Linked DNA regions of Schizosaccharomyces pombe. Changing the gene in region 4 together with the main gene of any one other region gives a genetic interaction. Each region holds a gene or a part of one and is shown on either strand. Other genes may lie near its edges. The genes, in order: dbl2, rad2, rad55 and fbh1.

Region 1 (5,113 bases), on a different chromosome or scaffold from region 4:
TATTATTCCTTAAAGATAATCGGTGTCTCAAACTACGAGAAGTCACTGCCAAATTCGAATTATTGGATAACAAAAATATTAATCTTAAAACTTCTAAAGGTAAAGACTCAAAAACCGTTAACGCTCTAGCTTTTCCATCAGTCAAATTATTTTTGACCTTTCTTTTCGTAATTTTTTCATTATAGTCATTTTTTATGGTCTGTTTTCGCTTTTTACCCATCTTTAACAAGATTTTTGGAGCTCACCAACAGACACTATTTAGTGCTGAAAAATTTAAACATGTATAGAAAATAAATGACTACAAAAGATAATTTAACTTAAAATATTTACAACATTTTCATAATAACCCAAATAGTTGGTTTTTTAAAAGAAAAGAATAAATCTGATACTTATTTGCTCAAAGGTTCAAAGAAGAAACTCAAGGTTTTGAAAAAGCAATGTATGTGCTACTAAAAAATGAAAATCAAAACCTAGAATTGTACTAACAACACCAAAAACAAGCTGAAATCTAATGTTTAAAAAAAAAAAATTAATTATATGTAAAAGAGCTAAATAAGTATAGCTAAAACCTAAATGAACTATGGAAAAATAAATGTTGATAATAATACATGAAGGAAACCAGAAATCAAAATTCAGTACTGTTTTTTGAATTAAAAATTATATGTAACAAAGTCGGCTTGAGAGAGAAGTTTCAACGTACGAAAGAAAAATTAATTTCAAATAAAGTCACCATCTTCGTCCGAATCGAGATCGCGTCCTTGTGTAGTCATGGCATGCTTAAATTTTAGCATTTTTAACTTTGCCCTTTTGATCTTGCTACTCGTTGAAGCAAGTGTTACTGTATTTACAAATGGCAAATCCGTAATGTTTGACGAAAAAGGCTCAATAGGTAACGAACAAGACTCTTGAAAAGTTGGTAAAATAGGAGATTTCTTTCCCGCTTTAGAAAAAATATCCGGAATTTTGGTAAGTATTTTCGGAGGCTTTTGGTTTTTGCTGGGTGAGAGATTTACAGCTCGAACAGTAGGCGAGGATGAAATGGTATCCGAAGGAGAAGAGTCCGTTTCAATAGCATTAGGAACATTTCCTTTTTTCTTTTGGACTTGGTCCGAAGAAGAAACAGTAAACGAAGGGACATTAAAAGGGCTAGAAAATACCGACACATTTCTGGATTTCGAGTTTTTAGGCAACGACGAATGTTCCCCTGAAGATATTATAGAAGTAGCTCCAAAACCGTCTTTTCTTTTCGAACCATTTGCATATTTAGGATATATCAACAAGCCTGTTCTCAGCGATACACCTGAATGTTTGGCCAAGGAAGGATGTTTGGCATGTTCAAGCACAGTAGAAGGTGAAACGTTAGGATTGACTGCATTGTTGGATTGTAGAAAGATTGAAGAAGAAGCACTAGATCCATTAAGTTCGTTTGAGCGAAGGGACGTGCCTAAGTGAGAGTGACTCCTACCAAACGAGGACGAAGATGCTGGTTTAACTAAAGGAGATGAAAAAGACGGTACACGAAACTTCACGGGTTGAAAGGCTTTTTTGTTGGGCAAAGCCAAAGGTGTTAAAAGAGATGACGAATCTAGCGAAGGAATGTGTTCATCCTCTTCTGATGCTGCATCTAGAAAATCAGGAGAGTTTGGTATTTCATTATCAGTTGTTTCTGTTACATTTTGAAGCGATGCCAGCTCGGCAGCAGTTTTGACACTTCTTTCGTACAAGTTTTTTGAGGGGTCGGTAACTGTGATATTAATAAAGTTTTGTCGTTTCCCCGTGGGTTTCCGAAGCAGAGGTAACGGAAGGCGAGTCAAACGGAGACGTTTAGAAGTAGGACTGGGTTCTGCAACAGAAGAATCTTGTCTTTGATGATCATCATTTAGCCCATCGTTTTTGTTGGAAGGTATGGTATTACAAGCGCGGGAAGAATGAGGAGATCGAGCATGATTATTAGAAACTTCTTCATTTCCATTTTCTAATGCCTTCACGGAGACACTTACGTTATCATTACTTAGGTTTTGTAACAAATGACCAGCATTTGAATTATTTAGAGTGGTAAAATCATCTGCCTCGAGATCGGCAGAAGGGGAAGAAAAAAAGTCAGAAGCTATGTCGTCTTCTCCAAATTCTTCTACAGGATCTTCAACCAAGGTGCCATTAAAAGACTTGGGTTTTGACAAAACAGGGATATATGCAATTTTCGAAGGTTTCGGTAGCGCAGTTACGGATGAGTTAGATGGGGGATAGGGAGAGGTATTGTTAGCTCGATTAGATTCCTCAACAGAAGAAGCTAGATATGAGTTTGGTCTAAACTTAGCTTTGGGTTGTATTTCCGGTGTTACTGACAGTTGATGCTTACTTGAACATCTCAAACTACCAATATCTGAGTCATCTACTCCATAAGATTGCAAATTTGCGTTCCGGAAGATCGTGGATTTTGTTGAATTTGTATGATGAGCGTGTGTTTTTAACATATTTGACGATAAAGCACCATTTGAATTGTTAGATACATCTGAGTTAGCGGAGTGAAATGGAGGCTGGAATGGTTTTAATAAATAAGCTGGCCTCTTCCCTGTCTCACTCAATTTTGATTTCCTCGGTATAGGTGGAATATTCGCTTCAGTAGTTGTTTGTAAATTCTCAACGTAAACAATAGTTCTATTAAATTCAATTTCAGAATCCAGAACAATTCTCTTGTTGTTAAGGAAAAAATCATCTACGACTCGGTTATCAGAATCGTAGAGAATTCCACGATTATTGAAGCTGTGGAAGCGCATTGTCCCATCTTTCCAAACTTTTACTTTTTTTGCTTTATCAGACGTCCACAATACTTGATAATGAAAAACATTGGAACTTGTATCCATAGAATATAAGTTTTAAAGCCTGTAAAGGCAGTTCCGAAAGGTGGCTTACGAAAAGCTTAATATTGTTGAAAAAAACTCACAAACCACCCTATTTAATAATTAATTAAAGAATAAGAGTGAGAATATCTATTTCATGTATAAACCTCATTTGAGCATTAATTGCTCTCGCTTTAGGAATGGGAATTACGTGCTTTTGTTGGATGGTAGTTAGGAAATGGTTGGTATACAGCAGAAAGTTGAAATCTAGGAAAGTAAATGATCTCAAGCCAGAAAATTACATCTTTGTAGAATCCTTAAACAAGGTTTCCTTTTCTTTTCTTTTTCTTTATGAACTACAAACGAGTTGAGCTTTTGGTTATTGATATGAGGTACTTGTTTACACGCCGAAATGATTGAAGGTAACTTTATAATACGCAAGCAGAAGCAGATTATCTCTTGAGATGGTTTCAAGAGAGATGCTTATTTTTATTAATTTTACTAATCTACAAGGTCTAATATTTGATGGGTTTTTCTTTAGTAAAAGGTCTCTTAGTGCCCAAGGAAGCAAAACTGTTAGATAATTTTCAATATCCTGTATCGAGAAACGGAAACAATGGTTAATAATCCCGATTGATAGTTTCATAGGGACAGACTGTGTGTATACATAATGATATATAAAAAAAGATGTCTTTTTTCACCTTAAACCATGAAGTTTACAGTTGAGCTTACAGAGGCAGATTGCTTCAAATATTCGTAATGTAAAATTATTTATCTTGTAAATTTGTATCTATCGTCGCATTATAATAGAGAATCTAAACATAGCAGTTGGAGATAAAACTGATTCTTTTGTTCTTCTATCGCTTTTGAGGTTTGCAGGCAAGAAAATTCATCAAAGATGATTGATGATACGATTAGGTGCAAAAGTACTTATGTTATAATTTTAGCAACATAAAAGGCCTATAGAGGGTAATTCTGCTCGAAATCTTGAACTTGCAATTCTCATCACCATGTCGAAGATAGGTACAAATTAAGTTATTAAAGTTGGTTTAAGCGCACTGATAGAAATTTACCTAAAATTTAGTACTTGGACGAAATTTAGGAGAAAAAAGCCCAAGAAGATGAAGAAAGTTGTTTCATTGTAATAATAAACCTGAAATCTTTTGTCAATTCTAATTAATACCCTTTCAAAAAAGAAGACTGATCTTTGCAATCACTAAAACTATTAAATTTATTGAGCAGCTGAAGAATCATCTGTCTATAATTTGCAACAAGAAGTAACTGAAGGGGAGTTAAAAAATGAGTATCAACCATTATGGCATCTGTCGCTTTGCTTCTTCTTCTTTAAGCTAAGTAATTTCGATTATATGCTCCAAGAACTAAGTATATTAATTAAATCATGAAATATTTTCAAGGATAAAATTAAAACAATTTTGTACTATTAAAAAAATGTAATTACTGTTGTGCGTATTCCAGATATCAGCTTGCTCTATAATCATCAAAAAACCTGTAATTATAAGCGAGTAACACTAATAAAACCAGACAGACTTTAAATCAAAAAATTTCATTTATTAGCTCGTATATCTGAAAAAGATAGGCAAATTTTTTTATTAAAGGAAGTCCCAGAAATGACTTCACTTGAGAAGATATATCGCTAAAACTAGAATTTGTATTGCAATATCAAATAAAAATTACAATTATTCTGATTTTATAAATCAATTTTTAAGCTATGTAGTAATGTACAATTAATACACATGTAGTTAGAAGAGTCGCCAAAATTTGCATAAGAAGTATTAAGGTTCTTTTTACTAATATCAGAGAGGGTCTTTAAAATTATTTAAATTTTCTTTTTCTTACTTAGGGAAACTGGCATTTTTGCTATATGATGCGAACCCTTTATTTACACTTGACTCTACTATGACAACTACCTCCTGCTCTTACTTACTGCCATAACCGTGAATAGACATTTGAATAGAAACTTCGATCTTCACTCATAGTTGGAACTTTTATAGTACGAAAAAAACATTATAAGTTAAATTACTTGTTTGGGAATAAACCTCAAGTTAAGCATTCAGTTCATTATGGAACGATATGTAACCATCGCATCTTGGTATGCTATAATCATTTTTCGTCTCAATGATCTAACTTCTGTAGTCAGCTGAACCAGTGGGCAATGGACTTTGAGGGAAACCGTCTACGCATCATTGATTCCATCAAAGAGGCGAAAAGACAAAACGCAAGCCTTCGTGTTGGTCCAGAATTAGAAGTCACGT
Region 2 (3,911 bases), on a different chromosome or scaffold from region 4:
TTTAAAGGTACACTTAATTTCTAAATTTTCTTTCTTAAATGGTTCTGTTGTATTGTTGCTAACATTTAAAGGCTAATTATATGGTCTGGCCCTTCTTTCAAACTGTGAACTTTTGGCTAATGCCCTTACAATACCAAATGCCATTTGCTTGTACGGTTGCTATTTTTTGGTATGTTGTTTCCAAGAGACATAAAGCATTTTTGCTCCTAGTTTTTTCGCCTTTGCTAATTTCAATTAGGAACATATTTCTTAGTTTGAAGAACGCTTCTTCAATGCAAGAATCTGGCTCACAAGAAATTGAACTATTTTAAAGATCTTTGATCCATCGTCCGAATCCACTGCTTTTCGTTTTTTGAGTTGTATCAGCCAGATTGTTTTTTGGCATATTATTACTTAGAAACGAGTTTTGTATACCATTATTAGCTTATATGATCAGAATTACCTCCTTAGACTAATTATTTTTACGTAAAAGTCATGCATTAAACAGATTTACTATTATTATAGCGTAGTATAGTTTTATCTACATGCGTCTTGCTTTTTTTAAGTTTTTTTTTTAGATTAATAACAATTACATGACTTCGTTTTCAACGCTTTTTCTTGCTTTCACCACCCTTATTTGAATCTCTTTTCCTTTTTGCTGATCCTTTGCTCTTTGTATCTACAGGTTTTTTGGGAGAAGAAGGGACTGGTTTAAAAAAGGAATCAAGACGACCCTGTGGAATTGTCTTTGAGGCTTTTTCTAGTCTATTGATCCCCAATTTAACACGATCTTCATTGAAACCTTTTTCCTTAACCAGAAATTGTATAATGCCATCTGCATCGGGACTTTTCCATTTCAACTCAATCTCTTCACCAGGAAGTACTTCTGCATCCAAAAACAGTCTTCTGGCATCTTCATAAGGCCAATCTTCCGGAATAGGATATTTTGATCGATCCGCCTCTTTGACAAAGCGATCGAGAGTCCCGTATTGCCTAATTAACTCGACGGCTCTAGCGGGGCCAACTCCCCGAATAGGTTCACAATAGTCACAACCCAAAAGAATACACAAGTCTACAAACTGCTCCACCGACATATCTAAACCATTCAATGCTTTTTCTATGTTATACTCACTAATTGGTTCCTTTCTTTGCTCACTAAATGTCAGGTGTCTCAAAAGTACAGGAGCTTGGAAGCACAATGTGTCCATGTCCTCAGAAGCAGCAGCATAAACTTTTCCTGAACGGGCTAAAGCGGCACATTGAGCTTCTGCTTCACAGGGTGCGTTAACGAAGGGAATTCCCATTAACTCTAGTAAACGTTTTGCTTCGTCATTATGTTGCCGAGTAACTTTGACCGTACGTTTGGCAAACCGATCCACCATTTCAGCTGTACCAACCTCTTTTGTCTCCTCTTGATCCTCTCGTGCTTTTTGATGTCGGGCCACACGTTTAGCTAATTCCCCTGACTTCAATGTTGGTGGTTTTCCATCAAAGACAAAGCAAGGCTTTATTCCATTATCGACAATTCGGAGTGTACGATAAAACATTCCCATTAAATGACTAGTAGTCTCGCCTTGTTCATTCATTAGCTGTTGACCATCTTGACTGCGAACTTGAATTAAAAATTGATAAAGACTCATTGACCTGTAATATACGAAATTAGCATTAATAAAGTACCTCAAGAAGACTTTATAAATCAACCCTTCGAAAAGGAAAGAATCAGTTGAATAGAGTTTGACCTATTAGTGTTTGCAACTTCAAGAACCAACAAAGTAAAGAAATGATGTAAAATACCTTGAGCAATGAATTTAACCGAGTCACTGTTAGTGAAAATTTATTCATCCTTTATTCTATATTTCGTTTGTATCATATCTTTGTCTCGAGTTAAGACATAGAGCTTTGCTCTTTAGCAATAAAAACTGTACACCATAGTGTTTAACCCATATTTACAAACAAAATCAGAAGCCATACAGTCTTTGCCAAGTCAACTGAGACTTTCGCTTTCTATTTAGTCTTTCAACTTACGCATCTATAGCCACTTTCCGTCCAAAATAATTTTTAATATCATTATGTTTGACACTGGCTGGGGCATGCTCGCTTAGTACTTGAGCCAAACCTAACCCAGATTAGTTTTAAGTAAAGGAGAGAGTAAAAGATAAACTCTTTAGCGTTAAATGTAACATACCTTTAATTCCCATCGTTTAGCAAATATACTTATTTATGTATATTACGAGATCCCGAACAACGCTTTCTCCAAAACTAGCTTAGAGCTTCTTATTAAATTTTCAATTTTTGCTAGATGTATTATACTCCTCAAAATCGAGCAGTTTTTACTTTGCTCACTCACACAAAGGTTCTTAGCTACCAGCAGTAGTATCCACGTCAAAGAGTCGATTCAGTAAATCACATGTTACTTTTCCATAAAGAATGATCGACCAAAGAATGTAAATACAAGGAAAGGGACCAGCCAATTTATACTGAAAATTCCCATGTATTATAGCTTTTAAAAAAGGATTTCTAGAAGGAACAAATTAGAAATTTTAAGATTACCAAATTGAGGTTCTTGTGGTTTTGGTGGCAGCACGGCTGTAAAATGTAAATCACCTCGCAGTTTACTACCACGAAAAGATCTCGAAAAGGTAATGTACCATCAGAAATTCTGGAAAAATGATCGATTCCTTTTTCCGGATAAGGAATAGGATGAAAAGTACATTGGAACTTTACCGAAACCCTATTGACTTGGCTAGATGTAAGTCTGTGTAACATAAGGTTGTTTTTATGAGAATAAACCAGTGGTTTTACGGTACTGAGATACCGTAGTGAGAAAGCCGCTTGAATTGCTCAACGTAATATTTTTAATAGAACAATAGCCTTGATTCATGGAACAATGTTGGATAATAGGCATTTTACCAAGAGAGTATTATTTGAAACTCGCCATATCTGCTACTGAATCGTCGAAAATATAATCGTAACCAGTTTATGGTATCGCTTGTGTAGTATGCAGACAACGAACAATATTGCAATATTCTACTAATAAGGTTCCTTTACCGACGTATTTCGTGCGGATCAAAACGTCATTCTGATCTTACGTTGGCAAATTCTAGTTAATGTCGGCTCGTTGAAAGAATATTATATGAGATGCTGCGCGCCTTGCTTACAGTATACTCATATCCCAGTGCAACCTCAATTTACCTGTGAAAGCAAGAACAATGTCTGAACAAAGCTCGCCATACTTAACATTGGCACCTGCCGATTACGAAGGAGAAGATGTCTCTAATGAAAAGGAAAAAAACAGTGTTATTCCTGATGTTATAGACTATTATAACAAAGGTAGACAATATTACCAATCGTTTGTGGTTTATAAAGCAACTGCTAATACCATTTTCCAATTTTCATATTTGTTGTATATATACATCGACCTCACTAAAGCTGATCAAACCGAAGTGTTACAATTTCTTAAAACATATGTTGAGGATGAATCGTTTGTTGGAGATGATTTTGTTATGCCAAAGTATACACTGGTTTTACCATATCGAGTGTATCGTGATCATGTAAAAAAACATGGAGATATTATAACGCCAAAGTGAAGTGCTAAATCTATTTTAATGTTTTCTTTTGTTTTTAAAGAACTTTCTGCTTGCATGAATCGCTCATTTTATAAGCAAATACCAGTTATATTGCTTCGCTTATTGTTATGATTTTTATGGATTCAAATCTAAAGAGAATTGCTAAATAGTGATTCATTAGTTAAGTTATTTATTTTTTAAAAAAAATAATAAATTCAACAAAATAAATGTAATCCTTTTTTTTTGGATCTTTTTTTCTGCTTCTTTGCTTTGCAAGTATTGAATTTTTTAAGTTTTTTGAATTTTGTAGCTTAGTAAATCGATCTGTAACCTTTTGAAAAAACAAACTTAAAAAAATACATGTTA
Region 3 (3,589 bases), on a different chromosome or scaffold from region 4:
CACGACGGGTAGTAGAGGGAGGAATTTGATTCTGTTTCGCTTTAGGAGGCGCGCGAAGCGTATGAATAGAGTAAGATGGTTGAGTGCCCATCATCTTGCTAATTACTTGATAAACGATTTAAGACTTTGAAAATATGTATATATAAAAAGAGAAAGGAAATACTAATAAAAAGGTTAGTATGTTAATTAGAGGTAGGTTGAAACAATGTTCATTAAAACATACTTAATCCGCCAACTCACACTAGACAAAGCGAAGTATAAATAAGGTCAGGCTCAAAATGGACTTATTAGACTACACTTTCGAAAGTAACAAAAGAGCTGTAAAGTTCAGGTAGATTTTTAGCGACTTGAACCCATGTTTTAAAGATTTGAGCTAGGCTTGAGACGTCACTATGTCAACATGGAATTTATATGTCGAAAGCATAATGTCATTATTGTCCGTACACTGAATGCGACACCTAAACAATTGAAAATTAATAAGGACTTGTCAATCAGCAAACATATAGATATCTTAATCATTTCCCTCCTCTATGACAATTAGCAATTTCATAAAAATGAACGAACAAAATAGCTTATGATACATTATGAAAAGATATGAGATCACAAATAAATCATTGAGAAACTTTTGACCAACACTCGACAAGTATTCATAGTTGTTTATGCAACGTAATGAATAGGTATAATAAATTAATAGATATGGGCAAAACAACCATCACTATGCTAAAAAATTCGTAACTGAAGCCACCATTTTTACCTAGGACTCACATTCCAAAATGGATCTCTTACGTCGTTGTGAGCTATTGGTAGGAATACTTTGATAATCCTGAATACCAGTAGATGTTAACTGAAAAGCCAACTCTGATTCTGCAGAATGAGCTGGTGGCTGCTTTGCCATGAATGCATAGCGCAGAAGCTGATGAGAGGGACGACTCTGTCCATCTTTTGATTCTTCAGTTGAATGCCTACTGTAAAGAATGAGCCGATAAGATAGATTATCTAACCAATTAGTGCTGAGAAGCGGTATCAACTTAGCACCTATCCCACTAACAACTTTTGAAGTCATCTGGGTGGTAACAAAGATAGCCACATAACAAGAGGATGTAATTTTGCTTAACAAAGAACTGATTGTACCGATTGCCTTTTTTCTGCGGTTTATTGTTGTTTTGGTAGAGGAGTTATGAAATGCAAAATTCGAGTCGTCTTTACTCGAGAACTCATTTTCTTTGTTTAACGTCAAAGTGTTTTCTTTTTGAGATGAATCTGAAAGGGAGCTTTTTTTGCTGGTATTACGACGAAGACGTAGATAAGCATAATCTTCTGGACTGGTTGGATATGCAAGTTGAATAGGCATTGATAGGTTGTCAATAATTAATAATCCAATTTCTTTAAGATGTTTTTCTTGATCGAAATTTCGTAAAAAAGCTAGAATATTCACTAAATTGGGTGCATATACAACATCGAGAAGATTTAATAACTCATCAGTATCGCATTTTTCCTCTTCATCTTGGGAAGAAGGGACGTGATTGTCTAATAGTTGACGAAGTCTCTCCATGGGAATTGGTTGACAAGTTTCGACCCAAATCACACGAGAACCGGAAAGAAGAGCGTTTGCAGTAATCTGTAAAGCCAAACTTGTTTTTCCCATCCCAGGTGCTCCACATACTTCAGAAATATACCCTCTTTTAAGACCACTTCCTCCAAACGCATCATCCAATAATTTTGAATTAAAGCCGAAACCTGGAGCAGAAAATGCTTCGTACGCACGAATAGCAGGTTGAGTCACTAGACGATCTAAAAAGTATTAGACACAGTTAGCTAGGCTGGAAGTCGCATACGTTGACTAGACAGCATTTATTTCAATGAAGGTTAAATCCAGCACAGTGCGACCTACTAGAATAACAGCGATACAGTTTATATTAAATTGATAACAGCATAAAAAGGATATAGGAAAATTTCCCTTTACATGAGAAACAACGATACGTTGTAAGGTTTGGAGGTGTTGGTAGAACGACAAAGGAAATCCTACGTGTTTTACTTTGCAATCATTTCATTAAATGTTGTTTCTTATAAGGAATAAATTATTTTAGTCTTAAGGTTAAGCAGATTAGAAGGTAACAAATTCGTAACCTTTATACATAATGGGAAATTTGACTAGGTAGGTCAACAGGAATGCAAGAGTAAGCTCAAGTTCATTTGAATCTATGATTCATTACTGCCTTTGACTTTGAACTTTAAACTTTGGGTTCATATAACGCAACATTTACATTTGTATTGAAACTCAAGAGGGTTTTAATCAAAATAGCTATTATTTTCGTACTACATTCCGTTTATGAAATAGCGTGTCGACCGATATGTGTGCAATTAGTTTACTATGTACACAATACTCATTTTATTGAAGAAATACTAAAATGGAAAATTATTAACAAAAATCGATTGCATGCCATGCTTCAATAAACGTATAAGCTCGTCAACGAAAAGAAATTGACGGAAGTTCCCATTTTCAAAGTACAATACAAGCAGTATTTATTTTTCAAAAATTTAAAATCGGTTAGATTTTTTCTTAAAGTTATGTATAAACAAGGTCTCATATACTAATAATATGTGTATATATTAGATTTCGTTGATAAAAAAGGTTCGTACCACTACACTAAATTACGCCCTCCAGTAGAACATAGGAGCTGGGGTACTACAATTTTTTCTTTTAGGCATTTACTAATCAAGTTCTGCCAAGTCATTGCCATAGTTAAGCATTTTCTCTTTTCAGAATTGAAATTCTGTAATATAGAAAAAGAATTTTAAATTTATGGAAATTGGTATGAACTTGGTATTTTACTAACATAAACGGGGAAAATGAGCCATGAATTTTCACCTGAAAATACGGCGGTTCTGTTCGAAGCCATGAAGCAGGAGCAGCATAATAGGAGACGTCGTGTTCCTATGGAGAGACGAAGAAGGGTGGTTCTAGCCTGCTTTAACTGCAAAGCCCGGAAAGTTCGTTGCGACGGGGCAAACCCATGCAAAGCTTGTGCTTCCAATAATTTGGAATGCACATATCCAGTAAAGGATGAAAAAGAAATGGATTATTCTAAGGACTACTTTATTGATCTTTCAAAAAGATACAAGTGTTTAGAATATATTGTTGAACGTCTTTGTTCCACCAAAGTTTCGACTTATACTACACCTTCATTGATTGAAGTTTGCAATCGTATAAGCAACCAAAAATCACTATTATCTTCAGATGTCTTTTCCCTCAATAGTGAAAGCACCAATAGTCAACGTGACGTGGATACCCTTACACAAGGTGCACTTGTTTGTTCACAAATTCAGCAAGATCCAACGGTCGTAGCAGAGGATACGAACAATGGAATCAATGCTGATGCTAGCGATCAAAGCGTTGACGAAATCATGAAATTAATTGGAAAAATAAAAGTTGACTCTAACGGCGAATCCCGTTATATAGGAGCTTCTGCTGGTGAAGCATTCGTTGACTCTGTTCAAAGTGAACTACTTGTCGATCCTTCTTTTTCCGAGCTGAGCGCGTATTCCCATACCCATCACAGTTATCCTCCGAATGAACATGATGTAAATG
Region 4 (5,257 bases):
TTATAATATTTATAGACACTTGTCAACAAAAGGAATCTATTCATATAGACGGGTAGTCACCCGTGATTATCAACAAACGGATCTTAACTAGTATTCCAACATATGACATATAGTGACACGCAACGTAGTGTAGTATGCTGACACGCTAATAAAGGCAAACGACCTTCGGTACCTTAATTCTAATACAAACTGTTTATAACTGCGTTATATTGTTAGCAAAGCCACTTAACGAGAGTATCAAAAGTTTGTTTTTTGTTTATTTAGCGTTGCGTGGGAATTCAGATGATGGGAAGTAATTTCTTGCTTGCTAGTTTTTGAAATCATCTTTATGTATGTTTTAGGTATAAACACTTAATTGGGTCATCGACTCACTTAATAGGAATCTTTTAAAGCACAAATATAACTTGATCTTCTGTTTATTTACACGAAGGGTTATTTCCATGGCTTTCTGTGTGTAATACTACAACTACTTTTAACTCTAACATGGAAAGTGCAGCGACAGATTGATATGAGTTTACGTTTATAAGCGAAATAGTAACATAGCTCTATAATGAAAATGTCCACACGAATATACATATTATTAAATGATTATATATTAAAGGTTGTAATAGCAATAGTACATCAATCAATATGGCTAAAATAGATTTTAAAAGAAACAAATCAAATAGTTTCTACTGATCATGTACAGCAAACAATTGATTTTCAATAAATAGCATCGATCTTTTAAGCCGTTCAGATGTATTCGCAATATAGTTCTGCCAAGCGCCTGAAAGAACTCCAAAAAATATATCCCATACTGATTTCTCATTTGCTTCGACCAAAAGATTGTATCCTTCAGCAGGGGTTTCATAAAAAAAGCTAAACTTGTCAATCTGCCAGTCGACAAAAAGAGCAACTTTTCCAGGTTGCAGCTGATCTTCCGTTAAAATGCCACCAGCAAAACGAACAAGTCCGCACTCTAATGCGTATAATTTGGTTATAGTGTCATTAAGGATAAGGCGTTTTTTAGCTCGCGTAAGAGCAACATAAAGGATATTGATTTCCTCTTGCAAGTACCTCGAAGATCCAATTCGTGAAAAAGAAACACTATCAAATTTTGGTCGAAAATCATTACCCAATTGAACATTATCCCATTCAAGACCCTTAGATTGATGTGCTGTTGCCAAAATAATACCGTTGTCACCATCGTCTTTAGAGTCCATCAATCTTTTTTCACAATTGTCCAATCGGCTCAGAAAGCTTTCACTAAATAATTCGTCGGCCATATCATATACTAAAGCCAATTCGGCATCTTCTTCGGCTGAGTTTTTTACGTGCACTTCAAATTCTCCCCAAGAGGAAAAGTCTTTTAACTTTGGGTGCGAAGGGCGCTGCCCATGCGCTAGTTCTGAACCACTTCGCAAAAGTTGGAATGCTTTTTTCCTCATTGAGCCAAGAATAGCAATGGGTATCTCCTTAGGTAATGACACTGATAGCCGAATCGATTGTAGGATTAATTCTGTATACGTTAGCTTTTATCAATATAAACCATTGCAAACCTTTATTAGTGCGAAAAATAATCGTATGAGGAAAAAATCGAAACGCTCCACTAACATTGTTGGGATTACTTGCTGAAGACCAATACGCATGGTCATTTTGTACCCCTTTAAGCTTAACGTTCTCTCCCTTTAATGAAAGCAAAAAATTTGCATATTTTGCAACAGAGTTTCCAAACCGGAAACTCTTAGTAAGGCACAGTTGCTTTGTGGAAGGGTACAAATTTTCATTGAAAGCACATGCATTTGCACCACGAAAACCATAAATGCATTGGTGTGCATCCCCAACGATGACAATTCGGGCGTGTTTCTGACGATAAATAAGGTCGACCATACACGGAGTAAAATCTTGAGCCTCGTCAAAAAGAATGTAGTCATATTTTGAAAAAATATTAGGGAATTCATACAAATGTAATAATTTCATATATGCATCAGGTATGAGAGGAGCATGGGTATATTCAAAGTTTACAATAAGAGACCACAATTTTTTTGTATAAGCCAAAAGCTTCTCTTTAGAGAGTTTTGTAACTTCCAGGCTTCTTTTACTTATATGACGAAAACCAAGCTGCCAGTCAGTGGAGTGCATGAACCTATTTAATGTAAACATGATATGAGAAGCTACCAAGCTAGCGGATGGTGTACCCGGATTATTTTTCCGATTTGCCTTTGGAAATGCAACTTGCAAAGACAAAAGTGAAGCTATAGTAGAATTTGATAATTGCCGCTCAAGTTTAGCTTGCGGCAAATCGGCCTGTGCAAGTATAGCACCATAAGCAAGACCATGCATGGTGGAGCATTTGACATTAAATGGAAATCGTAATTCTGCGTCTTCTTTTGCGGCCTTGTTAAAAGCAACATATAAAATTTTATCTTTTGGACGAGACTTGGCAAATTCCAATAATGCTTTGGTTTTGCCAGTACCAGCGAATGCTTTAACTTTTAGAACCTCTCCTGGGTTTAATTGACATTCAACAATCATTTTTTGTTCAGAGGTAAGGCCCTTAGTGTTAGGTTCATCATAAGGGGATTCAATGACAGCTACAATGTTGTGAATCCTAGTACACGAAGTAATTAGTGTTTGTGAAAGTGGGTCACGATAATGTTCATAATCTGTGCGGACTACAGTAAAGATAGAGTCCAGAAAATAAGCAAATTCTATAGCGGACGTTGAAGATAGCATATAAAGCGTATTGAAAAAATACCACAAATCATCTTCAAATAGTATCCCTACGAACAAACTTAAAAGCAGATTGCTAGTAGTAGTCCTACTTTTTAGAGAAGATATAGCTTCTCGAGCTGCAGGGGAGAAAAAGCTTTGAACCTGCATGCATATTGAGCTTATCCATTCTAAAGGAACATCATCTATGTGAAAAAAAGATGCTTTAATAGAACTTCCAAGATGATCAACTGTATGAGTCTCACTGACAAGATGGTCAATAGCATGTCCAATTTGTTCCACTTTCATAGGACCCGGGGGAAGCCCACAAATATTTTTTATTTCATCTGATTTACTATAGTATTCTCTCTCAGCTGGTGTGGATGAAATTTGGGTGCCATTGACAAATCCATTCATCGCTGAGCTCGAAACACCAGCAGCATAAGAACCACGAAGCAATCGATTTCGACGAATTCGTAACTCATAATTTTTCTTTTTCCAAAAAAGGTCATTAGAAGAGTCTAAAATAGTTTGAAAGGATGGGAATACACGTATGAAACTTTGGATATCCTGAACAGAAAGAAACCTGCAGATCAATGGGATAATTTCAAGTGGCAGTCTATAAAATTTGCAGCTATGTAAATGTTGAGCACTCATATAACTAAGAATTTGCTGACTGGGTGCTTGACTGAAAAGAAAGAACAAATTGCATTAGAAGAATTGCTTGTTGGTTGGGTATGTGCAAATTTAAGAGTAGTAAAAATACCAGAACTAGTTTATGAATGAGCAACGAACATTAAAATAAATCCAATCTTTTAAAATAAAATACATTCCTTAACCTATATAATTATTTCTCTCCGAAGCATGCTGTCGTTACAGAAATACTTTAACCATCTGCAAATTGAAAGAATTCCCATAATTTCTTATGTAAAAGTAAGTTTCATTGAATAAATAATTAACTCAAAAAGACTCTATTACTTTTTGTGTTGAAAAAATCCTCTACTTTATTTTGTAAATTGTAATTTTTTATTAATTGATGTATCATTCTTATTCTCATGATTTAACTAATTATTTATATAATTATTTCTCATCAACGACCTCTTGGTTGGTTTTTATTATACTTTCTTTAGACACTATAAATGCCACGTTTAGCAATATCACTTTTGTTGATATTTTAATGGAAACCGGTTTCACCAAAAATAGAAGTTTAGACCAGACAACATGCGGTATTAAATTCGGCTTCGTCAACTAAATTTTTTTCTACACCTAGTCTATTTATTCATCAATGCTCTCAATTTATTAAATGAAACCGAATAGAAGGATAAATCCTCACAATTTTCTTTAATTGCGGAAAATACATTTTACGGTTGGTAATTTCTGGGCCGATAACAAAGAAAGAATTCACCAGTAGTCAATGATGTTGATCCTTAGCGAAATTCAGCAAGTCAAGCAAAATTGTTTATAGAAAGAAAAAATTAATTAAAATGTTGATGTCCAGGCTCGAATCAACACCTTTCTCAGCTATTTTTTGAACCTTGCTAATCGCCTAACTATAAATAAATTACTATTTATTAAGTAGTCAATAACCTCCACCAACTTCTGAATCTCAACTTTGGCAGATAATCCGTGAATCGGTTTTGGGAAAAAATATTTTGTACATTGATTTACATAACATTGGTATTTAATTTTTGTTCCCAGTCCTTCGAAGTATAAAAAATCTAATGCTCTCATCATAAACCATGAAATTACTGATATCTCTTCTATGGAGTATATTCTTTTCCATAGTTTATTCAGAAAAAACATTACTGGTAAAACAATCAGATTTCTTGCGTATCATTTGCTAACTGCGGCTTCTTGCTAGAATTTCAAGCATTATGAATTGTGCAATGGCATTTACTCGAAATCGGAATCTGGAGGGTCTTTAAATCCAGCAATTTATGGTATGTACATATCTTTTTTTACGCTTTTATTTAAAAAACTTACGACGTTAGTGAATTGGACTGAACCATGGGGTCAAGAAGATGAAGTTGAGGTTTTGATATTCAATTGGAAAGAAATCCGCAAGTTAGGTGCATTCCGTTCTGATGATCAATTCACTTACATTTGCGATTACGATGCGGTATACACGGATCACCTATGTGAAGCCGATCAACTGGGACTATATTTGTGGAACTCAACGTCAGCAAAATCCATTCGTTCTTATATAATTCCGACAAATGCTGACCCTCAAAACATTATATATGAAATCTCTCAGTCAGGTTATTATTGCATTTGGTCTCATTCGAAAAAAATGTTACCTTATCAAGCTCTTGTCAATTGGCAAAATGCGTATGGTGGGCTTCCCGCTTCTCAATTCCCTAGAATGCCTATATCTGGTGGAATCACAATCGCTTATAGTGTAATTCTTGCACTTTGGATGTTTTTCCGATTTCAATATAAACATTCGATTGTTACCGTTCAAAAGGCAATTATGTTCTTGCTAATCTTTTCGTGTGCTCAACAGGCTGTCACTTCTATTGTGTTGGATACAGAAAATTTGAGAAATCGGGGGAACTTCACATGGTTA

What was found.
Region 1: of fbh1 (region 4) and dbl2, extra expression of one rescues a mutant of the other (dosage rescue), as found in Schizosaccharomyces pombe (one study listed by BioGRID).
Region 2: mutations in fbh1 (region 4) and rad2 are lethal when combined (synthetic lethality), as found in Schizosaccharomyces pombe (3 studies listed by BioGRID, with this or other methods).
Region 3: of fbh1 (region 4) and rad55, a mutation in one rescues a mutant of the other (synthetic rescue), as found in Schizosaccharomyces pombe (2 studies listed by BioGRID).

The regions. Positions count from the first base shown.
Region 1 is NC_003421.2:308,290-313,402, reverse strand, and holds dbl2 (DNA recombination protein Dbl2), read right to left. Parts: upstream 3,090-5,113; 5' UTR 2,865-3,089; coding exon 717-2,864; 3' UTR 508-716; downstream 1-507. Other genes in the region: SPOM_SPCC736.02 (uncharacterized protein), read right to left, coding at 1-220; qns1 (glutamine-dependent NAD(+) synthetase), read left to right, coding at 4,922-4,950, 4,995-5,111.
Region 2 is NC_003424.3:5,389,085-5,392,995, forward strand, and holds rad2 (FEN-1 endonuclease Rad2), read right to left. Parts: upstream 2,339-3,911; 5' UTR 2,178-2,338; coding exon 2,165-2,177; intron 2,096-2,164; coding exon 2,005-2,095; exon of another isoform or gene 1,828-2,004; intron 1,820-1,827; exon of another isoform or gene 1,624-1,819; coding exon 585-1,623; 3' UTR 502-584; downstream 1-501. Other genes in the region: SPOM_SPAC3G6.05 (Mpv17/PMP22 family protein 1), read left to right, coding at 1-7, 72-169, 239-311; SPOM_SPAC3G6.07 (uncharacterized protein), read left to right, coding at 3,189-3,566. UniProt on the Schizosaccharomyces pombe protein: Structure-specific nuclease with 5'-flap endonuclease and 5'-3' exonuclease activities involved in DNA replication and repair.
Region 3 is NC_003424.3:2,065,914-2,069,502, forward strand, and holds rad55 (DNA recombination mediator, RecA family ATPase Rad55/Rhp55), read right to left. Parts: upstream 2,002-3,589; 5' UTR 1,852-2,001; coding exon 1,836-1,851; intron 1,792-1,835; coding exon 755-1,791; 3' UTR 529-754; downstream 1-528. Other genes in the region: eisosome BAR domain-containing protein Pil2, read right to left, coding at 1-91; SPOM_SPAC3C7.04 (transcription factor), read left to right, coding at 2,851-3,589. UniProt on the Schizosaccharomyces pombe protein: Required for radiation resistance and meiotic viability and acts in recombination and recombinational DNA repair pathways.
Region 4 is NC_003423.3:2,731,387-2,736,643, reverse strand, and holds fbh1 (DNA helicase I, ubiquitin ligase F-box adaptor Fbh1), read right to left. Parts: upstream 3,435-5,257; 5' UTR 3,349-3,434; coding exon 1,539-3,348; exon of another isoform or gene 1,499-1,538; coding exon 672-1,498; 3' UTR 560-671; downstream 1-559. Other genes in the region: SPOM_SPBC336.16 (uncharacterized protein), read left to right, coding at 3,728-3,943; SPOM_SPBC18A7.02C (seven transmembrane receptor-like protein), read left to right, coding at 4,431-4,499, 4,553-4,631, 4,683-5,257. UniProt on the Schizosaccharomyces pombe protein: Involved in ATP-dependent DNA-unwinding in a 3' to 5' direction, and ATP-ase activities stimulated by the single-stranded DNA-binding protein ssb1.